2 linked regions of the Mytilus edulis genome follow. The protein of the gene in region 2 interacts with the protein of the main gene of each other region in a pairwise test. Links are inferred from orthologs where the notes say so. Each region holds a gene or a part of one and is shown on either strand. Other genes may lie near its edges.

Region 1 (7,457 bases), on a different chromosome or scaffold from region 2:
CTTGTTTATTGTTAAATAAATATAACTCTTTAATGCATTGTTTAATTATTTTCCATGCATTGGACTTTCACCGGATTCTTTAGGCTATTCGTTCATGCAATTCGGAGCAGTAGTATACCGCTGTTCGAAATTCATAAATCGATAGAGAAAAAACAAACCCGGGTTGCAAACTAAAACTGAGGGAAACGCATCAAATATAAAAGAACTACGACACAACAGAAACATAACATTAAAATGTAACACACAAGAAACAAACTATAATATAACAATGGCCATTTTCCTGACTTGGTACACAATTCTTTGCTGTTTTTTTTCCAGAAAATATAAGTTAATCTTGCTGTTTTGAAGTTAGTCAGGAGATAACTGTATTGTATTTTAAGCTCCGAAGGCATCAATTGGGAATTAATTTGATGATCGCAATTAAGTTTACTGGCGACGCGTAATTTTTTTGAAGTAGTTGTATTTTGTTTACGAGTTTCGTCAGGGTTGTCAAAACATGAAACACATTTGTTGGACAATAAACAAGAAAAATTGAGGACATTTTTCCTTTCACCATGTTTACCATGCTGTCCTGAACATATTACAACACCGATTTATTGGTTTTGACAAAATATGCACTAAAAAGATGGAGAAACAAACAGCATGTACAGTCGAAATAGGAAGAAACCTCATGATGATGATATGATCTGTTTTAAAAAAAAAAACATATCTACATATGAACCGAAATAAATAACCCGTTTTACTATCATGACTTTAATTTACTTTACTCAAAAAAAATTATGATTATTTTACAAACTTTTTCAATTTGGGGAAAAGTTTTAATGCGTTTGAAGACGTAATTCTCCGGACTTCAGAAGTGTCCATATTCTTGACCTTGGCGATGTACTCACAAGAAATATGTAAATTAGACGGATTATTCCTTATCCCTTTCTCTGGTCCGAGCCCGGGCGAGTCTGTTTCCAACAGCATATTGTCAATCGGTACTTGTTTTACTAACTTTTCCTGATCATTTCGAACTATAGACGGAGGAATAGAGAAATAAAACCCCTCTCTAACACCCTCCATTGCTACAGCTGGACGCCCATCAAATGCGTGCATTACAACGTTTCGAGCGCCAAACTCCTTCAAAGCTGCTATAGTCGGGCGACCAGCAGAACGAGAGTGAACATTAATGGGTAAATCAAACTTTTTTGCCATCTCAACTTGTAATCGTAAAACTTCCTTCTGAACATCTTTATCACTTGGATTTTTACAGACACGTGGTTGAAAATCTAAACCTATTTCACCAATTCCACACAGAATGTCTACGTGTTTCTCTATTTCTGGGAGAGCTGCTTCAATGTCTGCAAGTGTCACACTTCTTTGGTCTTCGGTTCCTCTTTGGACCGGATGTACACCAAGGCATGGTGACAAGATGTCTCTATACTTTAGTGATATATCTAGAACTTTGGAAAAATCCTCTAGACCTATTGGAACTACAACTATTGCACTTACGCCATCTTTCTTTGAATTTGCTACAACTTCTTCCAGATCCTGAAAAAAACTACATGTATTACTTGTTTAGTCAATGTATTGACTTTGAATTTAAGGACGAGGAATAATTTGTATATGAACCCGAAATCCCAGTCTTAAAAACATGAAATTCTGAGGTCCCGAATTTAAAGAAAATTTAAATCCAGACATCACGAAATACGAAAAAAAATACCGGATCACGAAAGGATCAATCTCCAAATCCGGAGCTTAAAAACACCCGATCCCCGGCGACGTCCCATAAAAGGTTCAGCACCCTCTCTATTATCATTGAGCGAAAAATCCAGGAGTCTGTAGTCTAGAAGGAAGGGAGGTATACATGTAAATATACATCCATTCCAAGATGATTGCCTCCTACTATTATACATATTATCATGGATCCGGATCGACGAGCGAAATGCGCTTTGGGAATGACCACCCTCCCATTTTCTACATACGTGAAATATTCTGTGGCGGATCCAGCCATTTTAAAAAGGCGGGGTTCCCAACCCAGAATAAAGGGGGGGGGAGGTTCCAACTATATGCTCCCATTCAAATGCATTGATCGGACCCCCCCCCCCCGGATCCGCCACTGCATATTTGTTTGAATTGTGTTTGGTCATGATGATTTGTTATTTTTTAAAACTTATTTTTTGAGTTCTTGGTCTTCAGTATCCATACGATATCACAATACCAGGGTTGAGTTCAATATCCGTAGCGGCTACGTAGCTGCTATCTACATGTAACAACTAGTTTATAGCTACACGTCCAATAGTCAAAATCTAAGTAGCAGTGCCACTACGTAGCTGCTACGATATTTAACGCAATATATATGACCCTCCTCTATTCTTATATAAACTACTGTCATTGTAATTTCGAATATAGATAAGAGTAATATAAATCAATATTTATACAATAAATAAGTTAAAATAAGTTAAAATATTTAAAAGAATATTTTTATGAATGAAGACACATACTTTTTGTGGTATAGAAAAGGTTGATCCACTCGCCAAGCTTGGCAAGGCAGGATTCTGTGTTTTAAATCAAATATCTAATCGAATCTTTTAGTATTCAATATGATGAAAACGTCATTATTTGAGAACACAGGAGTTACCTCCCATATTTGTATGGCTTCTTTCTCTCTATCCTAAACTAAAAGTGAGGGTAACGACTAGTTTAACTTTTACTTACCTTATCAAACATATCATCAGCTAGATGACAGTGACAATCTATGTATCCAAGTTCATGTGAATCGTTACACAGTTCTTCCTCCATTTCTCTTCTGTGTAGTGTACACCAACTTGTAACAACTTTTATAGTTAAGGGGAAATAACTCAATCTTGATATTGCTCAATATTGTGACATTAATGTTTCAGTCTAGGATGAAATTTTACAAATCTCGTTCTATTCTCACCGGGAAGTATTTTTGCCTGTTCATTTAAAAGACCAATCTAGTATCCAAATGATATATCATGACATTTCATGTTTTCTCTCTCTTTTAGGGGACACTCACTGACACTCTTATTAATTGTGAAAAGAGGGGGAGGGCGTTTAATCATTTTCCAGGACCATATATATATATTTGCGAGTTTAAATTGTGATACAGAACTACTATTTCACCCAGTCCATCCTTCAAATCAACATGTTATCCCCCTTAAAAGTAATTTAACTAATATTTGGAGAGAGAAAAAATGCCTTGACAGGGTAAATGTTTTATTGGCGAAGCTAGCCAAAGTGTTAGGACCAAAATATTTATCCTTGATGATTGATAAGGCAAGATATATTTATTTCCAACTTTATAATCATGGTCAGAATATTAAATTACGAAATCTGTCAGACCCCTCCCTGTTGGATTTAAATAGTCTTCCCTTTATTAGCCTCTGAGAGGCACGATTACCACCCATAACCTTACACTACTGTTATTGTAAGAGAAAGACCGCATCACATAGGGGAAATAAGTGGAAATATAATTAAAAGATACCGAAAAACTTACACACAGAAAATTACAACCACTCCAACAACAAAGTAAACTGAGTAAAAATGGATGTCTGTGTCGTAGCCGCCTGATCACGTGTATCTCCCTCCCCAACAACAAAGTAAACTGAATAAAAAAATTTGTAAGGGTTCCACGGAACCCAGCGTCTCGCCTACTTTTGCTGTTAATCGCAGACTCAACAAAAATGAGGAAAAACATCAATAAAAATTTCCATCTCGATACTGTCTTTTGATTGAAAGAAGCTTCCAAGTTTGGTAAAAAATCCAGGATAGTTTATGAATCTAATAAATGTTTTATAAACTTTAACTGCAGACTGTATGTAATGTTAACTGGAAGAAAAACTAAGTCCATTTACATGTATAAGTAAAATACGGAAAACGTGATTTTTTTTTTTTACAAAATTTACTTCTGAATAATATCTTATGATCAGAAACAAGCTTTTGTCTAAGTTTGGTAGAAATCCAGGATAGTTTAAGAACATTATAAAATTTTTTAAAAACTTAAACCACAGAGTGAATGTTTTGTTTCTGGCAAAAAAACTAAGTCCATTTATAAGTAAAATACGGAAAAGTGGAAATTTATTTATTACAAAATTTTCTTCTTGATACTATCTTATGATCATAAACAAGCTTCTGTCCAAGTTTGGTACAAATCAAGGATAGTTTATGAAAGTTATTAAAATTTTAAAAATCTTTAACCACAGAGTGAATGTAATGTTTCCTCGCAGAAAAACTAAGTCCATTTATAAGTAAAATACGGAAAAAATAGAATTTTATTTTTACAAAATTTACTTCTGGATACTTTCTTATGATCATAAACAAGCTTTTGTCTAAGTTTGGTAGAAATCCAGGATAGTTTAAGAACATTATAAAAATTTTAAAAACTTAAACCACAGAGTGAATGTTTTGTTTCTGGCAGAAAAACTAAGTCCATTTATAAGTAAAATACGGAAAAAATGGAATTTTATTTTTACAAAATTTACTTCTGGATACTTTCTTATTATCATAAACAAGCTTCTGTCCAAGTTTGGTAGAAATTCAATATAGTTTATGAAAGTTATTAAAATTTCAAAAACTTTAACCACAGAGTGAATATTTGTGGACGCCGCCGACGACGACGGAATGTAGGATCGCTTAGTCTCGCTTTTTCGACTAAAGTCGAAAGCTCGACAAAAAGGATGTCCGTGTCGTAGCCGCCTGATCACGTGTATCTCCCTCCCCAACAACAAAGTAAACTGAATAAAAAAAGGATGTCCATGTCGTAGCCGCCTAATCACGTGTATATCCCTCCCCAACAACAAAGTAAACTGAATAAAAAAAGGATGTCTGTGTCGTAGCCGCCTGATCACGTGTATCTCCCTCCCCAACAACAAAGTAAACTGCGTAAAAAAAGGATGTCTGTGTCGTAGTCGCCTGATCACATGTATAGAGGCGGAGTCCGTGTTGTAGCCGCCTGATCACGTGTGTAGAGGCGGAGGCCATGTATTTATATATTTAACTCCTCCAAACATTTGACTCTTCGTGTGCGTGTTGGAGAACCATTGTCGGATTAAGTATTTTCAAAAAAGGGAAAGGTAAGTAAAATCAGGGAAATGAACATCCATAGTACTCAGGTAAAGTTCTGCAAGTACCTCAAGTTCAGATCTGTACTTTGTCGTTAGTGGATTGTTTTGCTTTGTATCGATCAGATGTAATTTATAGGTTAGTTTTCATTATTAAATTGTATCACATTTTTCATATTGAGACCTTTTATGAGTCGTTGATTTTTACAAAATTGTGAAAACAACCTATTTTTATCTGGTCTTAAATAAGGTATAGTCTTTCTTCAATGACATTTTTTTGATAGTAGTATATTATTTATGTTTAATAATGAATTGAAAATATATACTCTTTAATAAATGTATTTCTATGTAGGCTACTAATTAGAGTCTACTAAATTGTCAGTTGATAATCAACATTGGTGATCCTTTATTGCCTTTTGCTTGCTGTAATGAAGACACTTACTTCTTTAGATAAAAGTCAGTGCTAGAAATTAAATCCCTCTACCATGATACATGCAGACATCTTAAAACGGAAGCAAAGTTGTTGACACAATGGAGGATAGAGAAATTGCTTCTGAGGAGTCAGTGTCAAAACTCTCATGGGACCAGAGGACAAAAAATTTCTATTAAGCAACTTGTCAGCTTGGTATCTTGACTTCAGCTGTCAACTAAGACCCATGTAAAGTAAAGGTGTGGCTGTGTGAAGAGGTATACCTAAGTTCACTGTCATGTCCAGATATAACCTGTAAAAAACTTAAAATATCTTTTGATATTAGAAACCAGAAAAGAAGATGACAATAACCAACAAAGGTTCAAAATAGTTATTTCTTCAAATAACATGGAATCAACAAACAGATATTTCCTTATAATAAAAAAGACAGATTTGCCTCTTCAAAAACCAACAAAATATGTGAAAATTGTCAAGGAGTATTATCTGTGTTCTGCTACTTACAAAAAACAAGAATGTGTCAATAGTACACGGATGCCCCACTCGCAATATCATTTTCTATGTTAAGTGGACCAAAAAATTTGGGTCAAAACTCTAATTTGGCATTACAATTAGAAAGATCATATCATAAGGCACATATGTATTAAGTTTCAAGTTGATTGGACTCAAAAACTACCTTGACCAAAATCTTTAACCTGAACGGACGGATGGACGGACGGATGGACAGAAGGGCGGACGAACGAAGGCACAGACCAGAAAACATAAAGCCCCTCTATTATCATAGGTGGGGCATAAAAAATAAACATCCAAGACAAAAATATTTCCATTATACATCAGTTTTAAACTTACCCAGAAGAATATATTTGATATAAAGTTGTGACTTTATGGAACCATACCAATAATATCTAAGACAAAGCTTGTTTGTGTGAACCAGCGAAAATCTTTTATATCAAAACCATATGGTGTCTCTAAAAACTGTATCAACACAATGAAATAACTTGAAGGTCAATCAAAAAGGTGGGAAGCACGTCCATAAAATCTCACAAAACCTAGCACTGGACTATATCAAGTAACGGAACAACACAATAACAACAGTCATATCTCTGACTTAGAACATACATTACCAAAGAAAATAGTGAGTTAAACCTGGTTTAATAGCTAGTTTACTAAACAATTAAATACAATACAAAAGAAGTAAAAAAAAAAGAAAAGAAAAAAGGTAAAATCAAGGACAATAATAAGTTACTATCTTTAGATGATTTTTTTATTTCTGGAAAATATTAATAAACATATGTGACAAATCAGTATGTTTATATTAACATATTTCTCAATATCAGCAACAAATAAAACATGTATCAAAAACAATATCAAAATACTTCTACAACAAATACTAAAATCAGGCCTATTTGAGAAATAAGTTGATTTTGGGAGGGAAGATTGGCTTATGTCTGATCTCTTGCTAAAATGATTATATTTGTCCCTAAACTTATAAAGTTGCACAATTACCTACAATTCTGTTGCTATGTAGTATCTACAGTAATAATAATAAAAAAGATAGGAACTAAGTTTACAATTTCAAAGTCAAACAAAATAAACGTTATATAATTACTAAATTCTATTTGTAATTTGGTGCAGAAAGAGTTACTTCTCTTACAGCATGGAGTTATTTTCATATTATACAATTAGATAACAATATTTAACACGGTCTCTCTTTGATAAAAAAATGAAATTGATAGTGAAGATCATTTTAAAAATATCTTAAAATAGGTATCGATATGTTTAAATAAATTTTGTGTATTACAGGGTTAGGGACATGAACAAATTTTGAAAACAATCATAATTTAAAAATTAACCAAGAAACGTAAAAAAATATACAGAAAAAGTGTTTAAAACGATAACTGTGTGGATAAATGAAAATAAGGTTCACACAAAGAAATTTTGGGGATTTTTCCTATATTCAACAG
Region 2 (8,285 bases):
GTGAAATGGATAATAAAATTTTTGAAAGTAACACAATCAATAAAGTATTTAGATGTCTGATGAAAAATTGAAAGAAAGCATACAAGTGTGATGGGATTGCTTCCCTTAGAACATGTCGTAGATACTTAGGCAATTAAATATTGGGTAAGTGCAACGGCTACTGGATTTCATTACCCGCCATGATCACTCAATGTTCTTATAGTTGCGCAAATATTTATTAGGTTTAAAGATGTTACAAATTATTTAAATCTTTTAAAGATGCCCTATGCATTATTGTCCAATTGGTATATTTTCCATTTCGTATTAAAACATATTTATTCCTACTCCTGGAAATTCAAAGTTAAAACAAATTCAATGGTCATGCATGTTAAAAGAAACAAGTTAGACTGCACTGTAATTGTATATTCCTCCCCAATATGTTAATTGTCCAACTTTTAATTCTTGAATAAAATATAAATGTACTGATAGTACATAAATGCTATTTCAAATAAAGGGAGGGGAAGTACGCGACTTTTTTTATAACTTTAAAGAGGCCCCTCATGGGGGGGTCCTAGTAATCACATAATCACCATTTTTTTGCCAATATAATCACATAATCATTAAATATTTGCTTATCTTTAGTAATCAAATAATCATAAACTAAAAATACAGTCCTAGGTAATCAAATAATCATGAAATTTTTGGCTTAATAATCAAATAATCATTAAAAAAAACGGCCAAGTAATCACATAATCAAAAACCCCATGAGGGCCCTCTTTAAACTTCAGAAATCAGATGGTATTTAAATGATGGAAAATAACGCAAAACCCTACTTTTTTATAAACTTTTTTCTACCGTGTGGTGTTACATAAGTGTGAACAAGTTTAAGATGATTTTGCAGCTGCTAGATTTGGTTAGAATGTATACAAGAATAAACAACGTAAACAACCGATTTCAAGAAAACATATAATTGTTTATCCAGAGACTGTTTATCCTTATAAAAAGAAGTTGATTTCTGGAATAAAACTTTAATATATACATGTACAAGGCAACAAAAGAAATAATTACAAGGCAATGCATTTTGCATATAATGTAATTAGATTAGATGTATGTTTCATTATAATACACTATTCTGATTGGCTGACTGCAATCTCACATTATTCCTTAATCAACTTCATTACACAATAAAATTTATCATTCATGATGACACGAGGTCCCACAATAAAGTGCACATGTAAATAAAAAAAACTTGGTAAAAATCGTGTTTTCGTGATCCTAGCTAAAAAAAAAAGTAATTATAAGTATTAAATGCTTCTTTTTGTAACTACATTAGCGGTTGTAAAAGTGGTGCCCGTGCTAACATTTTTAAAATGATCTTCGGTCAACGCTTTTACATCCCAATGAAGTTACAAAAAGAAGCATTCAAATCTTAAAATAATAAAATTGGATACAGTGTACCAAAGCAAATAATTCACCAAATGTTCTAACTTTTACAGTGTTATTTTCTTCTCAAAACCATTGATTTAAGGCAAAAACGCGATTTTTTTTGGTTGTTATTTCAAAAATCGTATTTTTACCCCAAAAATTATAAAAATCGATATTAAAACTTAAAACTTTAAATTTTAAATATTGAATCACTTCGCAGGTATTGAATACTTAAATCTCATCTTTGAAATGAAGTGCCGACTTTTGGCATCATTTTCCGCAAAATAACTTTGGCCCGTCGGTGTTTAAAAACTCGGTAGATTCTAACTTTCCAATTTGGTCAGATTATTTTAGTCATATGTATTTGCCTTGATAATGAATGTTTTCTATTGGATAATTTAACAGATTTCCTTACCTATTATATGTTATGATATCTAGGATTACAAACGTGTGTATCGTTTCTTTTGTTGACATCGGTATTTTTATGAAAGTAGTTGTTTTCCTGTATGAAACTTGTAAAAGTAGTTGTTTCCCGGTTTAAACTTTTTAACCACAATAAGTATACAATAAGAATAACATCAAATAAAAGGGCTTTTGCATTTAGTGTAAGAAAATAATAGATAAAGACAATAGTAGTTTACTGCTGTATAATAGCCACACATCTATTTAATATCTAAAACAAATCTGGTCCACAAACCAAAACTGTGACATCAAATATAAGAGGAAAACAATGGAATAACAGAAACACTGAACTGCTACAAAAAACAAAGGCCAGCATACATTGCACATAGAAACGGACTATTTGATAACAACAACTGCCAAATTCCTGACTAGGTACAGGAAATTTTAAGAAATAGAATAGGACTTTGTATTCTAAGTTGCGGGCTAACAAGAACCATACAAACGTGGGATAAGCACTGTACATAGAGCTTTTTGCCGACAATAAAGACACATAAAACATACACATTAGACATACATAAGATATGCAATAGCAAAATGTTCCTATAAAAACATCTGCACAAACTAACAAAGCACTGAACTACTTTATAAGCACATGCACATCTATTTCTTCAAGCTGCATAGAATACTCCAAAAAATATCAAATCATCAAGATCTGCTGGAGCCCCATGCGCATGATCGAGTTGTCTTTCCAGTTTTTGATAATACTTTTAAACTGGTTCATGTTCGTCTGCGAACGGATCTCGCCAGGTAGCTTCTTTCAGAGTGAAACTCCAGTATGAAGCATGAATTAACGAAGACTAACATTTGTGTTCTCTCCTATAGTACTTCAACAGTGCAATGCATTACGTACATGAGGGACATGTACATCACCCCATGCCGCTGAAATTATATTCGTTTAAGAACAATTAAGCACAACTTACTTATAAAAACAAATACGACCATACATATACATAACAAATGTACATTTGAAAAACTAACAAAGGAAGACATGATTTGATGTCAATAAATGATTAACTTACCGATATTGGCTCTGTGTCTTAAAAAATAAAAAAAAATGGGGGACAAAGTAAATATGTTCTCTTTCAATAAATTGTATTTCTATGAAATTGACAATCCGGCGACACGTTTGAAAATCAAACGCTTCCAACTTATCATCCAAACCAGAAATATGTGTATATATCTCTCTGGTATTATTAGAAGACCATTACAACTATAATGACTGTTTGGTACAATTGATAAGTCGATCTTTTCGCACCTGAAGACTGCCGGCAAAACATATCGGCACCTAAAAAAAGAACTAAACCCTAAGCGAAACAGTGATATTTCACGATTAAACGACAGAATAGATTAATTATAACTATAGCGTACAATTTAACCCACTGATTATATTTCAGTTTTTTGCATATTTTTGTACGTTAAAGTTGAGATACAAAATTAAAGAAAAATAGTGGCAGGGTATTTATCCATCCCTCGTCAATAACAACAAAAAATCCGGACACTAAGTACATATCTGAGAGTACTTGGCTTGCAGTTACCGATATAGCTCCACAGTGTTTTAAAGCCCCAAAAAATCATGTACCTTAGACCAGAGACATATAGTACATCAATTGTATTATATGTCTCTGCTTAAACTAAATTGAGTTTAATATAAACACATTCTTTCCATTTAATTGTATTTAACGTGATTATTTATTTTTGACAGTAGTATTTTGAAACGTATATCATCTTAATTTTTCTTATTTTATTAAAAGTTTGTTTTATAAATATATTTTCATGTTTTAACCCCTGGACAAAGACACACTTATATCCAAAGTTTTTCTGGCACTGAAAAAAATAACCCCTGGACAAAGAAACTTTATTCTATTTTTAACAATCTAGGATTTTCAAACCTAGCTGGGGGAAACTTTTCTATTAAACAATATCTACCAAGTATTAAACAACGAGTGATTGATCAGTGCACACAGGATCAATCATCAAAAATTCATGATTCATCAAAACTAAAATTTTATCAACAATTTCATAATTCAAAGCAGCGTAGTTCTTATGTTGATGTTCTAAGTAATAGATTAGAAAGGTCATCTCTGTGTAAAATTAGATTGAGTGCACACAATCTTGCTATTGAAAGGGGCGATGTTTAGGTTTAGCCACTGACGAACGAGTTTGTAATGTATGTAAATCAGGTGAGGTAGAAGATGAAAATCACTTTTTACTGAAATGTAAAAAAAATTCAAACTATAGATTTAACTTTAAAAATAAGATATTAAATATACTTCCTACATGTTGTAGTGAAAATCAGCTAAATATTAATAGTTGTATTAATAGTAATTCTTTAAAAGTCCTGAAAGTGACTAGTTCTTATATATATAAATGTCTGATGTATAGAAACGAGATTTTAGTTTCTTAATTATAACATATTTAAATACTAGTAACTGTATGCTGTATTCATTGTTGTAATGCACTGTAATATGGGCCTTTGCCAATTATTGTAATTGTGTTTGTGCCAATAAAATATTTGTAAAATATTTGTATTTTGTATTTGTTTTAGAATTTTATTATGTAGGCTATACACGTCGATTTGTCATTCATTACCGGAAAGAACATTTTACACGTGTAATTTATTAAACGATAGAAAGCATTGGGAATCCAGGTTTGCAACAAAGGACAATAAAATACTCTTAAAGAAGACGGAACAATCGATTAGGAAAATCTCTTCACTATAAATCAATATGTCCAATACGGTTTTTACAAAGTATAAAACTGTCTAGGGGTCGATATAGTAACCAAACTTTTTTTGTACAATTTCAATTTTTGATAATGTAATTCATTCATTGGGGGGAGGGGCAAATTATCGGTTTAGGCCACAGGCACTCGTATCAGAACAGTGGCGGATCCAGGGGGGGGGGGGGGTTCCGGGGGTGCGCACCCCCCCTTTATTTTTGCCGATCAATGCATTTGAATCGGGACATATGTTTTGCACCCCCCCCTTTGCCCTGGGTGCCCTGGGTTAGCACCCCCCCCTTTCGAAAATTCCTGCATCCACCCCTGCAGAATCCCCCCCTTATATACCTGTTATATTAGGTATATGAGAAAAAAAATTCTGAGACAAGTGCCTGTGGTTTAGGCTGTGACATTTAAAAAAAAATTCTAGTGCATGCAGGTTTTGTCGACTTTTCTCCCAAACACAAATAAATTTCTCCCAAACACAAATAATATTTTACACCTGTGACGAATAGCACTCATCCGGATTCGCCCCATTCCTAACTCGGTTCTGATATTACATATAGCAACCATCATGGCGGGTTCCACAGATACAGGTCGAGATCAAAATATCTATTTTTCTAACAGTTTTGCAGAAATTTGTTTTAAAAAAACATGTCAAATGACTTCTATAACACACATCCTAATACTTGACATCTTGAACGAGAGCCCTCTATGTAAATCTTGTTCGTTAAACACTTTGGAATTTCACGCCGGTTTGGTGTCTCCCATTTTCACAACATCATGGTATTTCTTTCATAAAGAATTTAACCAAATTTTGATTTAAGGACACATTTTAAATGTTATTCTAATGATAAAAGGGATAGACTTCGTTTAAATACCCTTTTAACTCAATAAAAGATGCAGTGGTTACATAGTTTACACTAAGAATTTCCTGTTTTAGCCTTGTTAGTGATTCATGATCTTGTTTTTACTAGAGTATAACCAGATACACACAGCAAAATGATGCTGTGCTACCAACTCATTTAATTTCTTCCAAATCATGTTTTGGACCACATTCAAATCTTTTTTCAACAATATTTATGCTCATAATTTACATTTTTAATACAGTAGAGGGACAAACAGACCTTTGTCATGATTAAGATATTTTAGTGTGAATAATGGGATATGGCTTTTATTTTTGAAGGATTTCAGAATAAAACCTTATCAGGACTCGAGAATAAATGATTTTTTGTCAGGAATGTTGGATGACAACCCACTACCTTTCCTCACAGTAGAATCGCCTGTTTCGATATACATTTGTACAACAGTTGATATCATAAATTGCATTACCTAATTACTTCATATCCATAATGTTACTGTACATGGATATTATTTGTCTTGTGCCTGTTTAGTCAAAACAAGGGGTTCCCTAATTTGGAACACATCTGTCAAATTCTCAATATCAATCAGATATGGTGATCATGAAGTCACACCTACAGAATATTGCATGAACTAAATTACATGAACTGTAAAAGTACATTTATGACATCAATTTGCTCCCTTTTACCCAATTATTGTTTTTTTTTAGTTTGCCAAAGACTAGTCATTGTAAAGATCTTAGTTACTGTTACTGCTTATATTAAGTTTTGAATAGTGTTTCTTTTGCAACAGACATGGCAGTTGATTCCTGTACAATTTTCAGAAATAATGTTTTTGGTAGAAACTTTTGAATTTATTGATAAAAGTACCGTTAAATAAACATGATAAATATGTATCATATTTTTTTTGAGGCACCAGAAACCTCTAGGACAAAAAGAAGTAGCTGTAGCTTACGATTAAGACATGGATATTTAATCACATACACAATCTATGACAAACAAATGAATTATTTAAAAAACAACTTTTTTCATGATTGAATTATTCATTATCTTATGCATGTTACACATAAAACAAGGAGATGTGGTATGATTGACATTGAGAAAACTATCCATCAAAGTTGAAATGAAGTGCATGACATGTAAACAATTATACTATGAGTATGGCAACTGTATAGCCTTCAAAATGTTTAAATTCACAGTAGCTACATTTTATTCAAAAAGATAAACTATGTTAGGAATAATATCATTCAAGAAAAGGGGTGTTATGAAAAAATAGTAAAAACAACCATGAAAATTTGAATCAACCAATATTTGCCAGTATTGACCACTTGGGGAGTATTATTCGGGGCGGTAAATTCCGGTAAATACCAGGCGTGGTATTTACCGCCCAACCTTGGAAATAGCTTTTCTTCAATCAAACATTAAGCATGTTATTAATTTACAACAGGTAATCCATTTGATATCCCACATGTACACAATGTATACTAGCTAATGTAGGAAGAAAAAATACTATGATTATAATCTTGATTTCATTTACAAAACAAATGTATGTATTATGAAATTGAGAATGAAAACAGGGAATGTGTCTAAGAGACAACAACCAGGCCAAATAGCAGAAGGCCACCAATTCAAGGGTCTTCAACACAGTGAGAAAATCCTCTACTCTGAGGCGGGCTTCATGATCAGCTGCCTTTAAACAAAAATGTGTTAAAGTTCAATGAAAATGTATGATGGATTAAAACTATACTGATCCATGTTCAGTGGTGAAAAGATTTTGAAGAAATATTGATAAAAAATGTTAGGCTCTTGACTCAAAACTAGGGTCTACTATAAATATGTTTGCCACAAGGAATAAAATAAATCCATCAGTTTCTTTGTTCTCCCTAGAATTTAAAAAAGCACCATTGAAATTATCATAGCAGCACTGGTTTTCCAAAAACAATAACGTACCATGGCCCCAGGCTCTATACAATCTGTTATAAAATCCAAGATAGAACCATGGTAGAAAATATAGCATGCTGGGGGCAAACACTAATTCAATTTTTTGTCAAAAGGGTGAGTCTGAATTTCCATCACAAATTAATGACAAAATATTTTTAGACTTTATTTTTTTTATTGACAACCATTCAAAATATTACCTAGACAATCAAATCAATACATATTAGTGGAAGATACTTCATATAATCATTATCTTGTCTAATGAGATTTTAATATTGACTAATTGTTAATACCCTGTGTACAGTTAGTACCATTACTTCATACTTTGCTGGTAACAATGTAGACCCACGGCTAGTACAAAATGTACCATCAATGGAAAACATCACTGATACAATGTATTTATTAAAGCAGAACTGAAACTCTTCCTTGTTTGACATTTATTGTTAGCTTTACAAACTTTTAAGTAAGACTATAATCATTAACAAAGTACTGTAAATTCAGAAATTATTGTGTGTATTTATTATTGCGATTTTGTCAGTTTAGACTTAAATGCAATTTTAATTTTTACGATTTTGAAAAAAATCCTGTTTAACATGTTTAAATAATATTGCCTTTACAACTCTGTCACATTTTTCTCAATAATAAAAACGTCGCATTAATTTCAGAATTTACAGTACATGCAATTCTGAATTCAGTCTAATTATATAACATCACTCTGAATGGAGTTTGCATGAGTAACTGTGAAATATCTTTGCGATTGCCAATGAGACATTTATCAACTAGAATCAAATGATGTAGATGTTAACATATATGTGTTTATTGAATAATCTGTATATTAAAATAACAAGTCTAAAAGGGTATATATACAATAATATATATAAATATATATAATCATGAAATACA

The links.
Region 1: the proteins of ubiquitin-conjugating enzyme E2 variant 2-like (region 2) and putative deoxyribonuclease TATDN3 interact in a two-hybrid assay, tested with the Caenorhabditis elegans proteins (2 studies listed by BioGRID). The link is inferred for Mytilus edulis from reciprocal best matches to the Caenorhabditis elegans genes uev-1 and B0432.8.

Annotation. Positions count from the first base shown.
Region 1 is NC_092353.1:84,481,916-84,489,372, reverse strand, and holds putative deoxyribonuclease TATDN3, read right to left. Parts: upstream 2,846-7,457; 5' UTR 2,785-2,845; coding exon 2,701-2,784; intron 1,534-2,700; coding exon 784-1,533; 3' UTR 738-783; downstream 1-737.
Region 2 is NC_092348.1:73,767,722-73,776,006, reverse strand, and holds the start of ubiquitin-conjugating enzyme E2 variant 2-like, read left to right. Parts: upstream 1-5,073; 5' UTR 5,074-5,158; coding exon 5,159-5,180; intron 5,181-8,285. UniProt on the Caenorhabditis elegans protein: Involved in protein ubiquitination, but has no ubiquitin ligase activity on its own. The uev-1-ubc-13 heterodimer catalyzes the synthesis of non-canonical poly-ubiquitin chains that are linked through Lys-63.